Linked DNA regions of Pelodiscus sinensis. The protein of the gene in region 1 interacts with the protein of each later gene in a biochemical or structural test. Links are inferred from orthologs where the notes say so. Each region holds a gene or a part of one and is shown in the gene's direction. Other genes may lie near its edges. The genes, in order: AKAP1 and MYCBP.

Region 1 (9,772 bases):
ACAAAGCCCTGGCTGCGATGATTGAGTTGGGTTGGTCCTGCTTTGGGCAAGGGGCTGGACTCGTTGACTCCTGAGGTCTCTTCCAGCCCTGGGATTCTATGAATGAGCAGGAATCCAACGTACAGTTCATATATATGGCCGTTCTCAGGACCGCTCAGCTCACACCCTGTATCCTCTTTCCCTAGCACACCAGCGTATGGTGCAAACTTCTCAACTGCTTAGATCTTGACAGCTTCTTCCCCTCCTCGTGGCACTTCTAGCCTTGCACATGTCAGTGTGTAAATACACCCCTGGGCGGGAATGCTTCCTGTGCTATAAGACTGTGCCTTGATTGTAAAGGGGAATTGGAACTATGGCATCAGGCCTGCCAATGGGGGGCGGGGGCGGGATGGAGGCAACTGCCCCAGGGCCCATTGATTCAATGGGCGGCTACTGTAGCAATGGTGGTGGCTGGAGCCCTGGGCCCTTTAAATTGCCACCGGAGCCCCACGCTGCACGCTCTGGTGGTGCTGAGGGCTGGTTGTGCTCCATCCCTCCCTTTCCACCTGAGGCCCCACCCCTTCTGGGAGCACAGAGCCGTGCCCCCCGCATCATCCCAAGGGGCCTGGCAATTCTCTCAGCTTCCCCCCCTTCCCCCGCACATGGCACCAGCTTTGCTGTGTAAATATTATTCTGGTTTTTCTGCACTTCTCACCATTCCTTTTTAGCGTGGCACCGATAAGATCACAGCTGGTAAATGTGCAGCACAGCTGCAAGCAACATTTGATCCATCACTCCTGCCTGCGTGACAGAGCCGCCACTAACAAAAACTGATGGATTAATCCCCACAGTAACCCTAAGGTATTGTTGTTGTTGCTGGTACTGTTATGTCCATTTTACGGCTGGGAGAACCGAGCTGTGCCTGAGGCTGCAGTGGGATTAATAGCTGCATTCATGGTCTGGAAGGCCATAAAGGTCTACTGTGGTCATCTAGTCTGACATCGCGTGTAGCACATGCCAAAGAACACCCCCCAGGAGTTGATGCATCAACCCCATAACTCTGCTTGAACTAGGGTGTTTATTGGAAAAAGAGATCCCATCTTGACTGAGAGACTTCAAGTGATGAAGAATCCACCACCAACATGGGGAGTGATTGATGGCACTGGGCTTAGTCTTCCTAACTCTGAGACTGTTTTCCTCCCCATGAAAAAGTCTGTACAAATAAAAGGTCTTTATTTTACACTTGTTACTGATTCAGAGCAATGGAAACAGACCAACCTTAGATTGAAAAAAACCCCCACAAATGCATGTGGCAATATTAATAATACTTAATTTTTAATGTAGCACTTTTCATCCCTGAATCACAGAAAAGTGAGATCTCTGTGCCTGTTTTACAATTAAGGAAACTGAGGCACGAAGCGGAAAAGTGACTTGCCCAAGGTCACACAGCAGGCTAGGGGCAGAGTAACATAAGAACCCAGGACTCCTGAGTCCAGGTCATGTGTTAGCTTTTGGACCACATTGTCTTCTACACTGTAACATAAAGAATTACCTACAGTGCTAAACTGGCTTATTGTAATAATTGATACATATTTCTCCTACTGAAAGTATTTTACAACCGCCGCTTACTTACTATTCAAAGGTAACCTTCTCTATGGTGAAATGGGCAACTGGTTAACAGTGCAATGTAACACAATCCAATGGGTCAAAAAAGGAAATGTATAAAATTTCCCATTAAAACAGAGGGCCTACCAAACTGGCAAGCAATAACTTTGCTAAAGATGGATTCTCCTTTAAGTTTTCCATCCCCATACTGATTCAGCCATAGCCTGCCATGTTCAGTGGCTGTAGTTGCTTGCTAATGTGTCTCTTAGTTTCACTTTTACAATGCTTATTGAAAAATGTGTACTTAGTCTGCAGAAAGTAAGTGTAAAGGGAGGATTTGGTACCAGCCTTCCACTACCTGTCCAGGAGGTTCCAAAGAGGATGGAGCCAGGTTGCTCTCAATGGTGATAGATGACAGAACTTGAGCAATGGTCTCAAGTTACAGTGAGGGAGGTCTAGGTTGGATATTGGGAAAAACTATTTCCCTAGGAGGGTGGGGAAGCACTGGGATGGGTTACCTAGAGAGGTGGTGGAATCTCCATCCCTAGAGGTTTTTAAGGCTTGACAAAGTCCTGTCTGGGGTGATTTAGTTGGGATTGGTTAAGCAGGGAGTTGGCCCTAGCTCTGATGCCCTATGCAGCCACCGTCCCTGAGGAGCAATGCAGGGCCAGGAGCTGTGGGAAGTAGACCCAGAGCTGTGGGGGCAGGAGCAAGGCAGGTTGGCAGCAAGAGTCATACCTGTTCCAGGCAGCACTCACCTGCAGCAACAGAGTGGAGCAACCCAGCCCCAGCCTCGTTATTTGGGTGAAGGGGTGGGAGGAGATGCAGCAGCGGTGGGAAGAGGCAGGTTGGGGCAGAGCAGGGGGCACTTAGGGAAGGGGTAGAGTGTGGTTGGAGCTGGAATGAGGTGAAGTGAGGTCGGGGGGTGTCCCAGGCTCCACACTCCTTATAGAGATGGCCCTACTGGGCACAGCCTATGGTGGGGGCCCTGGCTGCTGGAGCCCATACCTGCCTAGGGCACCATGAAATTTGGTGCAATTTGGTGCATATTTTGCATAGTGGTAGGAACGGCCTTGGTTGGACTAAGGTCTCCTGAGGTCTCTTCCAACCCTAATCGTCTAAGATTCCATAATGGCGTTGAGTTGTCACTGGCTGCTTGTTTGAACGGCACATTTAACGGTTTGATTTCTTTAGGTGATTGAACTGTGCCGCCTGTGTAGCACCGAGTATTTGAACACAGATAAACAAATTAATTAACATGAAGGGAAACACAAGGAGACAGTGAGCCATTTTTAGCTCTTCCAAGGAAGTGACTCAGATACCAGTGATGACTGAAGAAGGAGGCTTTGAGGAGGATGCCCGGACACTGTGAGGTACCTCGGACAGAAAGATTTAAACAGAGGAGCATATGTCCAGTTGTTAAAGGAGACTGAATCAGCGAATCCACCAGCCCAGAAGAGGACATGAAGTGAAGTGTTCTTTCCAAACTGGAGATGGGTGGGGGGGGAAAGGATGGGAGCTCCTTTATTTTGATACCCTCTGAATATTCCTGCTAGTCAGGGTGTCATGTGCACTAGGGCAAAGTGGATTATTGTAATAACCTCGCCAACTGTGCAGTGAAAGGCTACGTCTACACGATGAGTTTTCTTGGCAAAAAATATGCTAATGAGGGACTCATTTGCATGAGTCATTATCTCATTTGCATATTTTCTGCCAATCCGTTTTTGCGCTGAGGTTTTTGCACAAAAACAAGCAGTGTGGACATTTTTTGTGCAAAACCCCCACAAGATCCTTATGCCCCCCAAAAGGAGGTATACTGATAGCATATTTTTTGCCAAGAAAACTCGTAGTGTAGACGTAGCCTCAGAGCGCACACTAGCGTCCAAGTTCCCTCCAAGTCAGGGGTCTCAATCTCAATTTACCTTAGGGCCAGTGCCAGGCCTCAAATTCTCCTAGTGTGCACTTCTCTGACAGGGCTCTGAGTGGGGGGGAGTGTCTCCTCGTGTTCACCCCCACACACACATCTCCTAGCCCTGCCTGCCAGCCCAGGCACTCCCCTCTCCCCCCCCCCCGGTGTGTCCCCCAACCCCACTTGCTGCCCCCAAGTGATTTTAACATCCCACCAGGGACTCCCAGCACCACCCCCAGTAGGGCAAGAGCAGGTTCCAGTCACGAGCTCTGCCCCACATCCCTGTGTCCCGGGGGAGGTGTGTGCAGAACCATCCATAGGATGGTTGGGCATGGTCACTTTGGGGAGCCCGGCCGTGGCCACCCCAACCTATGAATGGGATGGTTCCCCATTCTCGGGTGAGGCGCTCTGCTTCCTGCCGCCGCTGGCCTGGGGGATGGCAGCGGAGCAGAGCCGAGGCTGCTGCGTCGCTCCACTTCCCCGCAGCTCCTGTTGCCATGGTGAGTGCGGGGGGCCCAATCCCTGCTGCTACCCCACGCCAGGCCTCCTGTGATCCCCGAGGCCCCGTTCCTTAGGGGAGGAGGTTGGGGGAGAAGGAGCAAGGGTGGGAAGAGGCCTCGTGGGGGGTGAAGCAGAGACTGGACTTGAGGGAAAGGCTTGGACATTCTCCTCAGGGCTGCAGGGACTCACGTGCCAGCAGCCGTGTGAGGGCCAGGCCGTGGTACTGCTCGGGCCCCTGGGCCGTGAGTCCGAGCCCCCTGTTCTAAGCTGTGCAGCTGCCTATTAAATGACACACGGACATTCGCCTCGGACCTGCTGCTATACCCCTTCCCCAGCCCTGCCATGGCAGGTGTGTGTGTAGGGCAACAGGTGCCCCTCCACCGACTCCACCCCTACTGTAGCCAGGGGACAGGCACCCTGACCATGACCCAGCCCAAACCTGTTGTAGCCAGGGGAGGGGTCCCCTCCTCCCCGTCAGCCCCAGTCCTGCTACAAGGAGAGTTAGAGAGTGTGTGTGTCTTTACTCCCCACTGTAGCCTCAGGGCAGCCTGCACCCCAAACCTCTTCTCCCTAGCACCACTCAGCCTGCACCCTGAGCCAGAACCCTCCCCCCTGCACTCCAGTCCTCTGCCCCAGCCCTTCGTCCCTGGCTCCACCTTGAATCCATAACCCTCCCCCCCCCACCACCCCGGCCAGAGCCATCACATTCCCCTCAACCAACATGCTGAATGCCTATTAAATGCCCCCCCCCCCCCCCCCCCGCCACAGGAATATTTTTAAGTGCACCAATATGGAGACGATGTGTCACACCATATTGGTGCACATAACAAAATTCATTCCTCATGTGGGTGTGAAAAATGAGAGGGAACACTTAGAGTGTCCACCCAGCCATCCGGCTGGGGCTAATTCCCAGCTCAAGGAGACGGACTGCTGCTGTCCTCCAGCTACTGCACTCAAAATAGAACATAGCCCTGGTCTGCCCTGGCAGCACCAGCTGTGGGATGGTCACGGGTCTCCCCAGGGCACATAGTACTTGAGAGGCTCAGGAGCTCAGCCCAGGGGTCTGGGTGAGTGATGGGGGGAGAAGAAGGGAGGTGTATATTGCCAAGATCTGGTGCCAGAGTGGGGCATAAATTTCAGAACTCACGATGCAACTGGCACCCCCCTCTTCAGCTTGGTTTCTATCATATGCACCAGGGGTGGGGAATCTTTTTTGGGTCGAGGGGGCGGGGGCTGACCCACAGAAAAATCAGTCGGGGGCCACACACAAGTGAAAAGTGAAGCGGGTGCCACCCAGCTGGTGAGCAGAGCACCCACAACGACCCGCAGCCAGCAGCATGTTGTTACTACTTGTAGTGCACATCCACGCGTGCCCTGGTGCACAGAACAAAATTTATTCCACGCATGGATTGGAAACAACTCAGAGGGCACATTGGTGGGAGATCGGGGCAAGGGATGGGGGGTTCAGAGGGGCAGGTCAGGGGTGGGGGCGGGGCGGAAGGTGAGGAGGGGCAGAGGGTGGGGGCCGGGTGCAGGAGCACAGACTCCACGTGCTCTCCCCTGTGCTGTACCCTTGGGGGAAAGGCGTGTCCCACAGGCGCATGCGCAGCTGCTTCCCGCTCCCCCTCCCCCACCGCCGCCAAGTAAGTCGGGGCCGGCTGAATGGCACTCGCCGGCAGGTCTCGCGAGATGTGGCTGCCTCGCGCCGGGGGGCGGGGCGTGCGGGCCTTAGTGTAGCGGTTGAATGTCTCAGTGTTCGGACGGGCCCGGTCGGGCAGCACGTGGGGGCAGCGCGGCTGGCGGGGAGCGGCCGGGGTGGGGGCAGGGCACGGCGCGCACGAGGGCTCTGCACCGGGGGCGGCGAGCACCGGACGGATCGTGAGTACCGGGGCCGGGCCGCGTTCCCCGGGGGGGCGGCAGCCGGGCGTGGAGCCGCCGCCTTGTGTGGGCTGAGCGCCGGGGAGCAGGCGCCAGCGTGGTAGGGCAGCTGTCAGCTCTCGAGGGGCAGCCCCCTCCCCCCTGCGCCGTGTGCTGCCCGGCTGCTACCCCCGCCCGCCCGGGGTCACCCCTGCCCCCTGTGCTGCCAGACTGCCAGCCCCCCCTCGCCCGCCCGGGGTCACCCCTGCCCCCTGGGCTGCCAGACTGCCAGCCCCCCCTCGCCCGCCCGGGGTCACCCCTGCCCCCTGTGCTGCCAGACTGCCAGCCCCCCCTCGCCCGCCCGGGGTCACCCCTGCCCCCTGGGCTGCCAGACTGCCAGCCCCCCCTCGCCCGCCCGGGGTCACCCCTGCCCCCTGGGCTGCCAGACTGCCAGCCCCCCCTCGCCCGCCCGGGGTCATCCCTGCCCCCTGTGCTGCCAGACTGCCAGCCCCCCCCTTGCCCGCCCGGGGTCACCCCTGCCCCCTGGGCTGCCAGACTGCCAGCCCCCCCCTTGCCCGCCCGGGGTCACCCCTGCCCCCTGGGCTGCCAGACTGCCAGCCCCCCCTTGCCCGCCCGGGGTCACCCCTGCCCCCTGGGCTGCCAGACTGCCCACGTGGTGTCACCCCAGCCCTCCCCCTTACCCGCCTGGGGTCACCCCTGCCCCGTGTGCTGCTTGACTGCCCACGTGATGTCACCCCCGCGCCCCCCCCCTTGCTCGCCGGGGTCACCCCAGCCACGTGTGCTGCCAAACAGACTGCCCACCCCTGCCTGGAGTCACCTTTTCCCTGCTGCCCTGGGTGGTGCGACAAGATAGCCCCTTTGTCTTTGCTGCCTCATGTGCTGTCAGACTTTCCCTTCCCTTCTGCCCTGGGGCTGGCTCCTATCCAGCTGCCCTTTCTTAACTCCCCTCTCCCTGTCTGATTCTGCTGTGTACCTCCCCACTCCTAGGAGTGCAGCCCCCTGGAGCTCCAGGCACTGGCTTGTTGCTCATGTGTCCCTTGTTGGTTTGGGGAACTTTTTCCCCACTCGCTTCTTGGCAGAGGTGCGATCAGCCCAGTATGGCCAGCGTGGTGCTTGTCATGGAATTACAGGACTGGAAGGAACCTTGGGAGGTCATTGAGAGGCCATTGAATGGTTCTTTTGCCCCATTTGTATCCCCTTTCCTAACTATCTGTAGCAGGTAGTGGCTTTGCTACTGTGAATGGGATAGCGTGCACAGTATACTGGTGCTGTGAGTTAATGGCACAGTATGTGTCCCGCTTAGGCAGCAAGTCTGGCATTGTTGTGCCAAGGGTGTATTATTAAGAGTCTTTTCTTTACCCTAAGAGGGTGATGGTGGTGTCAGCTTTGAACAGTCACAAGGTTGTGTGTGTAGTGACTCCCTGACCCTTGATACGGAGGCACCTATTAGTGGGATTGCAAACCTGCAACAGGGCTGGCTGTGCCACTTGAAAAGAGTATGAGATGAGCTGTCCTTTATCTCTGGCAGTTAGAAGGTGTCAAGATGCTTTCTGTCCTGTTGGCATTTGCAGAGAAATGACCTGAGCTGCTTTTTCTCAAGGTCACTCACACTCCTATGGATTTATTCTTTTAAAGGTCATGTATACCCAGACTGAACAGGTAGTGTGCTGCAGGAAGCAACCTGAGCACCACATCAGGCCTAGCTCGAGGAGGGCTGGGGAGTTTGCTTCTTGTTCTAACAACTAGCATAGGTCACCGCTTTCTGCTCCGGAGCTGGTGGGTGAAATGGGAACTTCACCCATCTTCGTGCTGCCAAGTCTGTACACTTGGCTCATGCTCCTTTGAGCTCAGATCACCTCCCTGTACTTGTTTCAACTAGAAAAGAAGTGCTTCTGGGCCTCTGGGTGCAGCCTTATTTAGTGAAAGTGAGTGACGGGGCAGGCATGTACCTGCTGCTGTTGCCGATGTGACATGGCAAACTAACCCACGCTGTCTGGCTTGATGGCGCTTACATGAGACGAGCTAATCAGTGTGCAATCTCAGTCAGGTCTTGTTCAGCGTGGCTTTGATGGCTCTTGAACCGCGGCTTTTGGACTTGCCCCTTGGAGAAAAAGAAGCCAGTCTTCCCTCCTAAGAGTTGCAGTGTTTGAGACATGCAGTAGCCCAGAGCAGGCAGAGTTGCTTTCCACGGAAAGTCCCTCCCTCAATAAAAACCCCTCAAAGCCCAACGTTCTTTAAACCGATTAAGGCCAAAAAGAAACCAGCAATGAAATCCTGACCCCGTTGAAGTTGGTGATAAAATTCCCATTGGATTCCACAGTCAGGATTTACCCTCTTGTCTGCTTGAACTGATCCATAGGTGAGCAAATTAAGTGAAGACTCTTTTAAACCATTGCAGAGCTCTTACAACTCGTTAAAAGGCAGCTGGAAGACTGGTCTAAATTACATTAGCCGCTCAGCTGTAAAATTAATGGGTAGGTAGATGAGAATCAGTTGGTGTCAGTTGTTGTATATGCTGATTCAGAGTTTCCTACCAGTGTGTAGATCTATTTCTGTAATAGAAAGTGAATCTGTAATTTTTCAATATCTGTGTGTGTTAGCCACTATCTAACTGTCTTAACTCCACTGAAGTCTTAGCTCTCGATGTTTTGTTGGGGAAATACTAGCTGTTGGCTCTCAGAAATACGCTGTTGGGCAGACTGACAGTCTGTGGTTGATGTGATTTCAGGTTCGTTGGGAGCTGTGTTGCAACAATTTAAAACCGAAAGTGAGGGTTGACGTAAGTATTAGTTGTGGAATTGCTAGTGTAGTCTAGCCTATCTCTTCTGTTTGTACAGCACCTAGCATAATGGGGCCCTCCAGGCGCTACCAGAGAGTAAACAAACTATAATTAGCTGACTCTTCTCTCACTTGTGCAATCTAATGTTTATAAGTCTAATATATAGCTAGAGGATGCAGCGAGCAAGGGAGGAATTATGTTGTAGCATAATCCAGCAGTATTTTATTAGCCTGCGTGCCGTGTTTCTTTCAACTCAAGTAAAAAATGTGAATGGGAGTTTTTCCAGTATCTTCATGAGCTTTGAACAAGTAGACTTGTGCCTGGAATGGTAAACAATCATGGCAGTTTTGCTAGGAGGCAGCTGCCATTCTCCATAGAGAACACAGGGTATCTGTAGGATGTATAATAGGGGAGTCTCTATCTTACTGCCCCCACTTCACTGGACACCTTTACAGCAACCAATCCATAGTACTATGAAATAGTAAAGGATAGGTGCGCTGTACCACAGGTCATATTGTTAAGGAAGAGTCAAGGACAGCTGAACAAAAGTGACTTACATGCTTTTGACTTTGTGTATCTAGGGCTTGGGTGACTTATGCTGCTGCTCCAACACCTACCAGGTGTTATCAGAATGCTGTGAACTTTGTCTTAGGGGAAAAGAAAGGACTTGTGGCTGAGGAAGGTGGTAGCAAGAGTCGCTAACTTCACGTTTCTCCTGTTTGTTTTGTGCCGGTGAATGATCTACAGAGTTACAGCCAGGCAAGTGCCCAGAGTGGAATGGGAAAGAAAGCATATGACTTGGCAGAGCTTGGCACGGTGACTGCAGGATGATAGCTGGGAATTCTGAGGACCTGGCTGCAGCATTGCCCATCTTGTAGTGTTGGAGAGCCTGTATTGCATATGTTTCGTATTGCAATGGAAAGGTTTTTTCTATTGCTGTGGATAATCCCCCTCCCCAAGTGGCAATGGAGTTCTTCCATCGAACTAGCTGCGCTACGTCAGGGGGATTGTGTTTTCACACCCCTAGCGCTGTAGCTATTTTGACCTAACTTTTAAATATAGGCCAGGCCATAGTTCTGTTCACAGCTCTGTCACTTGGTCACTGTGATCCTTGAGCAAAT
Region 2 (10,325 bases), on another chromosome or scaffold:
GGGTCAAAAAAATCAAAAAGGGACTTTGTGGGCCAGATAAAAGCAGGGATGACTTTGATGATTTCTATGTTAGTAAATCCAAGAAAAACTCTGTAATACCCCACTCTTATATGGGAACATGTGCAACGCCACAAAAAATTCATCCCTCTGCCCCTATTAGTTATACCATGTTAATGGAAAAACAAATTGGGACCGCAGTCCGTGATGTTCTACATTCATCTTCTGCATTCCAATCTCTTAAAAACAACCATACTGAAAATAGCAACAATCGCATCCATGATGAACGGGAAAGTAAATTGCCAGATGAAATGCCAACTAATACATTGGACTGTCCTCCTCGAAATACCTGCTCAAATAATAATGATGGCTTAAACAAGGTATTTGGGACAGAAATTAATGGTTGTCAACAACATGATGAAAAGAAACATGGCATGCATTCTAATCTAGTTGCTGCTCCGGGTCTGTGCTTGGGAAGCCTGTCTGAATTAACATCTGGAAGTTCATTGCAACCTGATATGACTTCCACTATTTCAGTTAACTGTGTTCGAAAGCTACGTGGAGTCAGTTCCCCATGGAACTGTTCTACAGTGGTTGAGAGTGAAGGGTCACCAACAGAGTCTCCTTCCACAAACAGCAACCGAGGACAAGACAGCTTCAGTGGAAGCATAGCACAAGGCCTTTCCAGCACTGACTTAAGAAAAATCAGCAGACCAGACACTCCTGACTCCCTAGGCGAACTAAGTTCAGAATCCAAACAGGGCAGAAATTGTGAAAGTCCTCAGGCTCTCTCTCCCTCACGGCGAATGTCACTGGCAAGTAATGCCAGCAGCAGGCGTGCCCCCACCGATCTTCAGATCTAAGTGTTTGTTACCTTACCTGTGTGTTACATGCATGAGCACTGAAGGAAATAGAGGCATTACTGGACACCCCTGTAGCGTGAGTTGTAGCTTTTTGTCATTGTAGCTAAGTCAATCATTTTTCTCCAGCTCTTTTGGAGTATGTCTCCACAGCAGTGTTATTTGGGAATAATTGACGTTATTCCAAAATAACATAGTGCTCATCTTCACTACAAGCCTTTATTTCGAAATAATGTTGAGCTGGAGGACTTCTTACTCTGACTCCTGGTAACCCTCATTTCAGAGGAGTAAGGGAAGTTGAAGGAAAAGTGTTCCTCCTTCGACTTCCTGCTGCGTACACAGCGCCAAAAGCTAAATTAAGCTATTTTGACTTAAGCTACAGAATTGACGTAGCTGAGGTTCTGTAGCTTAATTCGACTTTTGCCCTGCTGTGTAGACGTACTCCTACTGAGGTAATGCAAAGAACTGTGCGCTCTTGTGCAGTAGTTGATAAACACTCGTGAAATAAGAAATTGGTTCTACTTTCGCGTAATAAAAAGATGACTTAAAATCGAATAGATCTAATATCTCCATTATCTTTCCTGTTCCTAAATCAAACAGTCACTTTTAATTTAACCCAGTAATTCCTGTATCAAGTCCATGTAAGGCAAGCCTCAGATCAATGGATCACTGCAATCTAAACAGACTTTTTTTTTTGAGGGAGTGAGAGTTATGTATGTGTGTGGAGACCTTGTGCCTCTTCATTACCTTTTTTTCATCCTCACTTCCACATAGCTCCATGACAGAGGAACTGTGCTGACTGGGCCTCGCTTGCTGCATTTGCCCCTGAATAGCACTGTAGTGGGGTTTCACATAGTTTTATATGATATATGTGTTTTATTTTAGGGAGGAAATACTGAAAAGAATGGACAATTACTACCCCCTTTCTAGATCGGTGCAGTCCAAATTCCATGAAGAACCTGTGAAATACAAAAGTGTTTATGTGAGGCTGGGGAGAAGTGAGGACTATGCCACGTAGCCTGTAGGCTCCCAGGAGTAGCCTGAGCTGCTTAGCTGGCAAGAGTGGAAATATTTTCAGCCCTCTCTCTGACTAAACAGCAGAGCACAAAAAACAAACTCCCCTCTCCCCAAAACCAGAAAAGCTAAGTGATGACACAGCCTGCAGGAAAATTGGTGCCCAGAGTGATTGCTTTGCTCACCCACTCTTAGAACTGACAATACATGCTTTCTTCAGTGCCTCCCTGAATCAAATTCCCATGTTTGAGCAGCATTTGCATCACTGATAGTGCCACATAAAGGTTAAAACAATAACAAAAAACAAAAGGTAGGAAATGGAACAGTCATTTATCTTTTAGCATTAATCATGTTGTACATGCTGAAGTTTTAACCATTCTTGACTACCTTGTTAAATCTTAGTTTTTTTTCTTTGGTACCTATCACTTTAGCATCTGAGGTAAATACATATTTGTATATTATTGTGTTGATATTGCTAAATGACTACCTTATTAAAGACAAAAAGGGCAATATGTTTGAGTTAACAGTCATGTAGTAATCTTAACTTTTTCATTTTCTGATTTAAAATTTTAATTGGGTATACTTAAATTTGCAATAATGTGTTTTTAAAGAAAAAAATAACTATGCTTAGTGCACTCCTTTTTGCGCTGTATAAATAATACATTAGTAGCCATAATGTTACTTTTTAAATAGTCCCAATTGGGGTTTGAAGCTCTCATCTCAATTCACTGAATTGTGCAGAAGTCTGTCAAAGAGTTTACAGCCTGCTGCTTCTTTCGGGAGAATGTATGACTCACATAGTAATGACTGCACACAGTATCTTTGAAAAGGAAAAACAAACATGAAATTTAGCTAAAATTAAAACTTAAGAATTTGCACAATATGGCAGAAGGCAACAGAATCTTTTGTAAGACACAACTATACAAACAATGGGTTTGTTATTTTTACATCCCTGCTAATGATTCCTAGATCTTATAGGCTGCATCTACATTGCAACGCTATTTCAGGATACTGGAGTATTCCGAAATAACTATCCCGCATCTTCACAGCAAGCCCATTATTTTGGGCTCGCTATTCTGAAGTCCCTGTAAAACTCATTCCACGAGGAGTAATGGACATTTCGGAATAGCGGATTATTTTGAAATTTGGTGCTATGCAGACAGTGCTAAATTACGAAATAAGCTATTTCAAAATAAGATTGAAATAAGAGACGCAATTTGCGTAGCTCAAATTGAACATCTTTTTTCTAACTATGGTGCAGTGTAGATGTAGTCATATAGTGCTTTTCATCAGTATGCCATGAAGCACTTTACCAAGGAGATAAGTATAATTATCCCATTTTACAAATGGAAACATGGAAGGTAAGGCACTATTTTTTGAAAGGTATTTGAGTGTGCATAATTCTTTGGTCCCCTTGCATGATGCTCTCAGCTGAAACTTATTCCCCATAGTGGTGGAAATATTTCAGTCATATTATTCTGCAAACCTGGTTATGATATCAAAGTGAACATTATTTACATGCCAGGTGTCAAAATTCATCTACTTTTGTGTTTGTGAGGGAATGATTTCTTTTATAGAGGATGAGGGAATAATTTCTTTTATAGAGGAGGAAAGCATTCCATTTAAGTCTTGTAATACAAAATAATTAAGTTGAACTTTTTTTTTTCACCCTATGTGAAACCATATGTGAGACCTGATCCAAAGCATATTGAAATCAATGAAAGCTTTTCCATTGCCCTCAATGGGCTTTTGATCAGGCCTTTAAGATTATAGAAACGTATGTTTGGAAGGAATGGAGAACAGTTATCTAGTTCAGATGCGAGGATTGCCAACTTTCTAACTGCACAAACCAAATGCCCTTGCCCTACCCCTCCGCTTCTCTGAGGTCCCATTCCCAGCCTCTGTTGGTGGCACTCCTGCACCCTCACTCACTTTAACTGGGATGGGCAGGGATTGAGGGTGCAAGAGGGAGTGTGGGGTACAGGCACTAGGAGGGAGATTGGGTATGGGAATGGGCTCAGGACTGGGGGTAGGGGGTTGGGTTGTGGACTTCATGAGCAGGCTTGGAGCTGGGATAGGAGTTTGAGCTGTGGGAGAGTTAGAGAGCAGCAGGTTCAGGGTGAAGGCTCCAGTGCTTACCTCCCACAGCTCCTGTTCTGTGGTGCAGTGGGGCTAAGGCAGGCTCCCAAAAGCAGTTAATGGATGGGTGCTTCTCAACTTTGAAAAGTTTATGTTTTGGTTATTTATATTTTTAACTAAATATTTATAACCAAAACATAACTTTCTATAAAAATAGCTGCAGAAGGGGCATTGGGGCTTGGAGTTGAGGAAGAGAAAGGCATTTGACTATACAGAATTTTCTGCAAACTTTCCTCTCAAAAGGAAGGAGCTTGGGGGCTTATGGTGACTGAGGTATGGAGGCAGGATGAGGACCCCAAGTTCTGGAGAGTGTTAGAGCCACTTTGCTGCTATTTTGAACATACCGACTCTCTGACAGCACATGTTCCCAGTGCCTATACATAACCACTCTGCAAGCAGCATTAAGTCCTATGCAAATGAGGGGATACCTGCTACCTTTGGGGGTGATAATACTGTGTTCAGCAGACCCCACTCACAGACATGGACAGCGGAAGAATGGGCCAGTTGTCAGGGTATTGAGAGAACCCAATCCCCTGTTCAGCTACCAATTTCCTGTGTGACCTGTTCAAGGCACTTAATTTGTCTGTGCCTCATTTCCCAAATGGTACAATAGGGATGATTGTTATGGTTTGGATCAGAGATTCTCTCTAAACTCACAGGATGGGCTGATTGTACCACTGAACCCATCCACCTGCCCTCTGGGGCGCCCCACCACCCTGTCCTACTGGGACAGAAGCTCCGTTCCTCCCCCTCCTCCCCAGCAGCAAAGGCACAGAGTTGGGTAACAGCCCCCCTTGGAGAACAACACAGACTCGTCAGCACCCAGCACAGCCCCGCATGGATCCACATCCCAAATCAATCTGTCTTACTTCTAACCATGCCTATTACAAGATCAAGATCAAGAATACATATTCCTGTTCATCCAGAAATATAATTTATGCCATCATGTGCCTAAAGTGTCCATCTGCTATGTTCATTGGACAAACTTCTCAGACACTTCGCCAAAGAATCAATGCACACAAAACAGACATAAGACTTTCTCACAAAGAGAAAGCTGTTGCTTGCCATTTCAGCCAGACTGACCATTCCCTCAATGACCTTAAAACATGCATATTGCTTCAAAGAGACTTTAACTCCAGACTTCAAAGAGAAGCTTCAGAATTGTCATTCATGCTTAAATTTAGCTGTCTACACTGGCCGCTTGAATTTCCACAAGAACACTGACTTCCTACTGTCTGAAATCAGTGCTTCTTGCGGAAATGCTATGCTGCTACAGTGTAGACAACGTGGTATTGTTTTGCGCAAAAAAGCCCCAATGGCGAAAATGGCGATCGGGGCTTTCTTGCGCAAAACCGCGTCTAGATTGGCCACGGACGCTTGTCCGCAAAAAGTGCTTTTGCGGAAAAGCGTCCTGCCAATCTAGACGCTCTGTTCCGAAAATACTTTTAACAGAAAACTTTTCCGTTAAAAGCATTTGCAGAAAATCATACCAGTCTAGAGGTCGCCAGAGAAAGCTCATAGAGTTCGCCCCCCCCTTATCAATGAGACACACAGCTGTGGCTCCCCCCAACAATTATTTAGACTGGGCTGAGGGACCAGCCGGGGGGCGGGGTCAGAGGGAAGGCGGGAGAGGCACCGGGAGGGAGGGAGGAAAGAAAGAGGGGCCAGGCGGGGGGCGGGGCCAGAGGGAAGCCGGGCTGAGCGACCAAGCGTGGGGCGGAGCTGCGGGAAGGTAGAAAGAGGGACCGGGCTGAGAGGCTGGGCGGGGCCAGAGGGAAGGCGGGAGGAGGGGCAGGCTGAGCGGCCAGGCAGGGGGCGGAGCTGAGGGAAGGCGGGAGGAGGGACCAGGCTGAGAGGCTGGGCGCGGCCAGAGGGAAGGCGGGAGGAGGGGCAGGCTGAGCGGCCAGGCAGGGGGCGGAGCTGCGGGAAGGCGGGAGGAGGGGCCGGGCTGAGCGGCCAGGCAGGGGGCGGAGCTGCGGGAAGGCGGGAGGAGGGACCAGGCTGAGAGGCTGGGCGCGGCCAGAGGGAAGGCGGGAGGAGGGGCCGGGCTGAGCGGCCAGGCAGGGGGCGGAGCTGAGGGAAGGCGGGAGGAGGGGCCGGGCTGAGCGGCCAGGCAGGGGGCGGAGCTGCGGGAAGGCGGGAGGAGGGACCAGACTGAGAGGCTGGGCGGAGCTGAGGGAAGGCGGGAGGAGGGGCCGGGCTGAGCGGCCGGGCAGGGGGCGGAGCTGAGGGAAGGCGGGAGGAGGGACCAGGCTGAGAGGCTGGGCGGAGCTGAGGGAAGGCGAGAGGAGGGGCCGGGCTGAGCAGCCGGGCAGGGGGCGGAGCTGCGGGAAGGCGGGAGGAGGGACCAGGCTGAGAGGCTGGGCGGAGCTGAGGGAAGGCGGGAGGAGGGGCCGGGCTGAGCGGCCAGGCAGGGGGCGGAGCTGAGGGAAGGCGGGAGGAGGGGCCGGGCTGAGCGGCCAGGCGGTGGGCGGGGCTGAGGGAAGGCGAGAGGAGGGGCCGGGTCGAGCGGCCAAACGGGCGGCAGACACAGCTGGCGGAGAGGGCCAAGGCCGCGGAACAGAAGCTGGGGGCGGGGCGGGGCCGCGTGCTAGCGTCACCCGTCTCCCTAGGAACAGATGGGACGCGGCGTGCCTTCCCCGCCCCCATAAAACCCCCGGGGCGCATGCGCGCTTAGCGCAGCGGCGGCGGCGTCTCGGCCGGGATGGCGCACTTTAAGGTGCGGGGCAGCGGCTGCTCTTCGGGCTCCGCGGGAGCCGGGGGCGGGGTGTCCCCGCTGGCTGCTCCCCGCTAACGCTGTCCCCTCCTTTCCGCAGGCCGCGGACTCCAAGCGGGAGCAGTTCCGCCGCTACCTGGAGAAGTCCGGCGTGCTGGACACGCTCACCAAAGGTAACGGGCCCGCGCCGCCTTCTCAGGGGCCTCGCGCTCCCCCCCCCCCCCCGCCGTCCGCTCCCCCGGGGCCCTTCTCTGCCCCGCCCCCTGTAGCCGAGGGCTCGCCCCGCTTCCACAGCTCTGACCCGCCGCCACGCCCTTAGGGGGCCCCTAGACTCGCGGGGGGGGGGTCATCGGGTCCAACCCCCCCGGGGAGTTGGGGCTCAAGTGACTCGCCCAGCAGAAGCAGGGATCCGATTCGGTTCTTCCGGGAGATCCTGCACCCTGAGACTTACTCCCTTCTTCTTCCTGTAGTCTTGTGCCTGACTTGCTGCACGCTGTTGGGCCGCTGCAACAGGGGTGGGGAGCCTGTCGCCTGTCTGGGTTCTGTGGGTGGCCCACGAGACCTCTTGTCGTGCTTGTGTGGCGTTCCCCTGGCTTCCATCTGTGGAGTAGTCCTCCTACTATTACTGAAGCACCATGCACCTCCAGCAAAGGTACCCGGAGTGAGGTGCCTGCTGACTGCACACAACACTGACTGAGCGAGCCCTGCTCTCCCTATGCATCCAGGCAAAGTGCTGATGTTGTTCAGTTGGTGCACCCCACGAATTCTTGGTACACAAGTACAGTTAGCAAACTGTTAGTTACCACTACCCTATCCCAGGAGACCACCTTGCTGCTTATGACAATCTTGTGGTCCACTGAGATGGAGGGATGCTCAAGTCGGCCCATTCACTAGGTTGCCCATCGCTACTCTATATCAAAGGAGGCAGGGTTCTTGTACAGAACAGCTCATTCACTGCAAAGTTCTGTTTGATTCCCCAACGAGGCAGAAGTCCTGTTTATTCCTCTAATGTATGTATAGCGTTCAGTCATATCAGTTTTGTGTTGCCTGGATGTAGCAGGGCAGAGTTGAGAGCACAGAAGAGTTTCTTTGCTCTTGATTCCTGTGCTCAGCACTGCTTGTGGCACCCAGCAATTAAGAGGAGAAATTGCAAGGAAAGTCCTGATCCGTCTTCAACTCAGAGATGGAGCAGGCTTAGAGCACATTGAATTTGGAAAAATTTAGCCAACAAAGCATAACTCCTTCTCCTGAGCAATTTCTTGAATCTCTATAATTTGGGCAGGGTTGTAGTAGGGATTGCAAAAGGCATACCTCTTAACAGCAAGGCCATCCGTACTGCTAAGTGCAGAGGCAATATAGCTTCTTAATCAAATAGGTGTAAGAATTTTTAGCATGGGCAAAACAAAATTTTTGCCTTAATTTCGTTCTTGGAAACAGCTGAACTGTTGGGTACAACTTTCAAAAAAACTTCAACATGAGGCATGGGCATGTATATAAAATTTCAGTCCAAATGGGCAAACTGGAAAATGAACTACAAGCAGGGTCTTAATGGAAGTTATTAAGCAACCTTACGTATAGGTCTTAACTATCAGCTCTGGCTATAAACTGTTGTGGAAGTACCCAAATCCCCATATATGGATTGGGATGACATTGGGCTAAACATAGAAAATCTTAAAATTTCTTCACAGGTATAGCTTACAATCTAAGGAAGTCAAACAATATACAAAGAATTAGAGGCAATTAAATATTTCTCTGTATTTTTAGTCTTGTAATTATATGAATATTCACTTCCTCAGCCTATAAATTACACACAAGCCATATTCATTTTGGCTTCATCTAAATCCAGAAATCGAAGAATGAATTAATCCACTGGAGAACATAACATAATGCTGGCTCAAGTTCACTTGAGGATAGGGATGTAAAATCACATTTGGTTAACTGGTTGAATGGAGCAAGTGGAGGGGGAGGAGGGAAGCAGCTATAGCCTCCACCAAAAGTCATACCCCTACTTGAGGATTCAGTCCACAAAGCAGTAAAAAATGAATATTTCAAAGTTTGTGCCACATGGCTGTCTTTGGTTCAAAGTACAAGTTGAGTATCATATTCAATGTAATACTGAGTGCACCTGGAGATGAGCACAACGTGATGAAGCCAAATGTTGTACTGTAAGTGCAAGCTACGATCCTGAGACACTATTTAGGATTCTTGCTTCAACTCTAGAAGCAAAGCAGCAGGTTGTGGAATTTGTTTCCACCTCCAACTCCTCCTTCCTCCTCCTTAGTGTAAAGGTGGCCTGGTGATGGAGAAGAATACTGAGTTTCCAAACTCATTAAAGGAGACCCTGGCTTTGGTTTAGGGATGTTAAATATTGGTTAATTGAATAGTTGAGTAACTTCATGAATTCTTATTTATTAGTCAACTATTCTATAGTTCATAGAGGTGATGCTAGCAGCTAGTGCAATCCGACTAGACTCCCAAGGAGTGCTGCTGCTGCCTCTGTGGGGTGCCAGGCAGGAACTGGTCTGTGGGGGGAGCCAGTTTAAAAATCATCTCCCCTCGTGGATCGGCTGCCCATCACCCTGTGCTGCTGTCTCTGAGATCTTGGACCCAGCGCAAGCTGGAACTGATCTTGGCTGCCTGTCTGCGTACAAATACACTTTAAATGCAGAGCCACCTCAGTTGGTAGGGCCTGGACATGTTGCAAGCCAGGACTGAGCCGGGCTGCTGGCCAGCCTGCTAAAAAATATACTGGCAAGGGGGTGAGGAGGAAAAGGTGTGTAGTCTATAGCATTAACCTATAAGCTTCTGATTATTGGTTGACTACACTATTACATCCCTACTTTGTCTATGCTAGAGAGGTCTAGGGAAGAGGTCTCCTATTGGCTTAATTACTCCAGCCCTTGCAAGCAGTGGTAGCTATATCTGCAAAAGCTCTTCTGCTCATATAACTTCCGTTTTTGAAGTGGTTGTGTTGTTCATGGGGGTGGCTATTTTACTCCGCTGAGCAACATAACTTATGTTGTTGGGTATTTAAGCTATAGTGTAGCCATAGCCTTAAATTACCTTCATTATAAGACAAGTCACAGATGTGATTGTGGGCAGCTACTTCAGTGGGTAGAGAATGTGTGTCCAGGAACTCTTACTAAAAAATTTAGATCAGTTTTTAGAACATAACTGCTTGAAAGCACTGTTCTTGTAATGTTTGTTTTCAGAAATTATTGCAAATACTTAGCTTTATGGTTCATTAAAGAATTGTTGGAAAAAAGCTTATTCAGAATAATTCCAGTTATATAACTGCAATCAAGCTTATGTGGATGCACATGCATCTTAATAGTACTCTGCATGATCATTAATAATAGTACTCTGCATGATCATTAATATTTGTTCATTGTCCTAATTTTTGACTGTAATACAAGCTAGCTTTGTTTTAATGTTTATTCTAAAGGTGATGTTTCACGAATCTGAAAGCAATCCTTTTTACATCTCAAATTACCTTTGACTATTGGCACGTGCTTCATAAATTGAACTGTTTAGAAAGTTTCTGCTTTCATCTGTTGGATGTTTTTTACTTACAGTGTTGGTAGCCCTTTATGAAGAGC

What was found.
Region 2: the proteins of AKAP1 (region 1) and MYCBP form a complex in vitro, tested with the Homo sapiens proteins (2 studies listed by BioGRID). The link is inferred for Pelodiscus sinensis from reciprocal best matches to the Homo sapiens genes AKAP1 and MYCBP.

The regions. Positions count from the first base shown.
Region 1 is NC_134731.1:10,348,993-10,358,764, reverse strand, and holds the start of AKAP1 (A-kinase anchor protein 1, mitochondrial), read left to right. Parts: upstream 1-5,714; 5' UTR 5,715-5,872; intron 5,873-9,772.
Region 2 is NC_134735.1:11,658,946-11,669,270, reverse strand, and holds the start of MYCBP (C-Myc-binding protein), read left to right. Parts: upstream 1-6,493; 5' UTR 6,494-6,714; coding exon 6,715-6,729; intron 6,730-6,826; coding exon 6,827-6,899; intron 6,900-10,301; coding exon 10,302-10,325. Other genes in the region: GJA9 (gap junction alpha-9 protein), read left to right, coding at 1-860. UniProt on the Homo sapiens protein: May control the transcriptional activity of MYC. Stimulates the activation of E box-dependent transcription by MYC.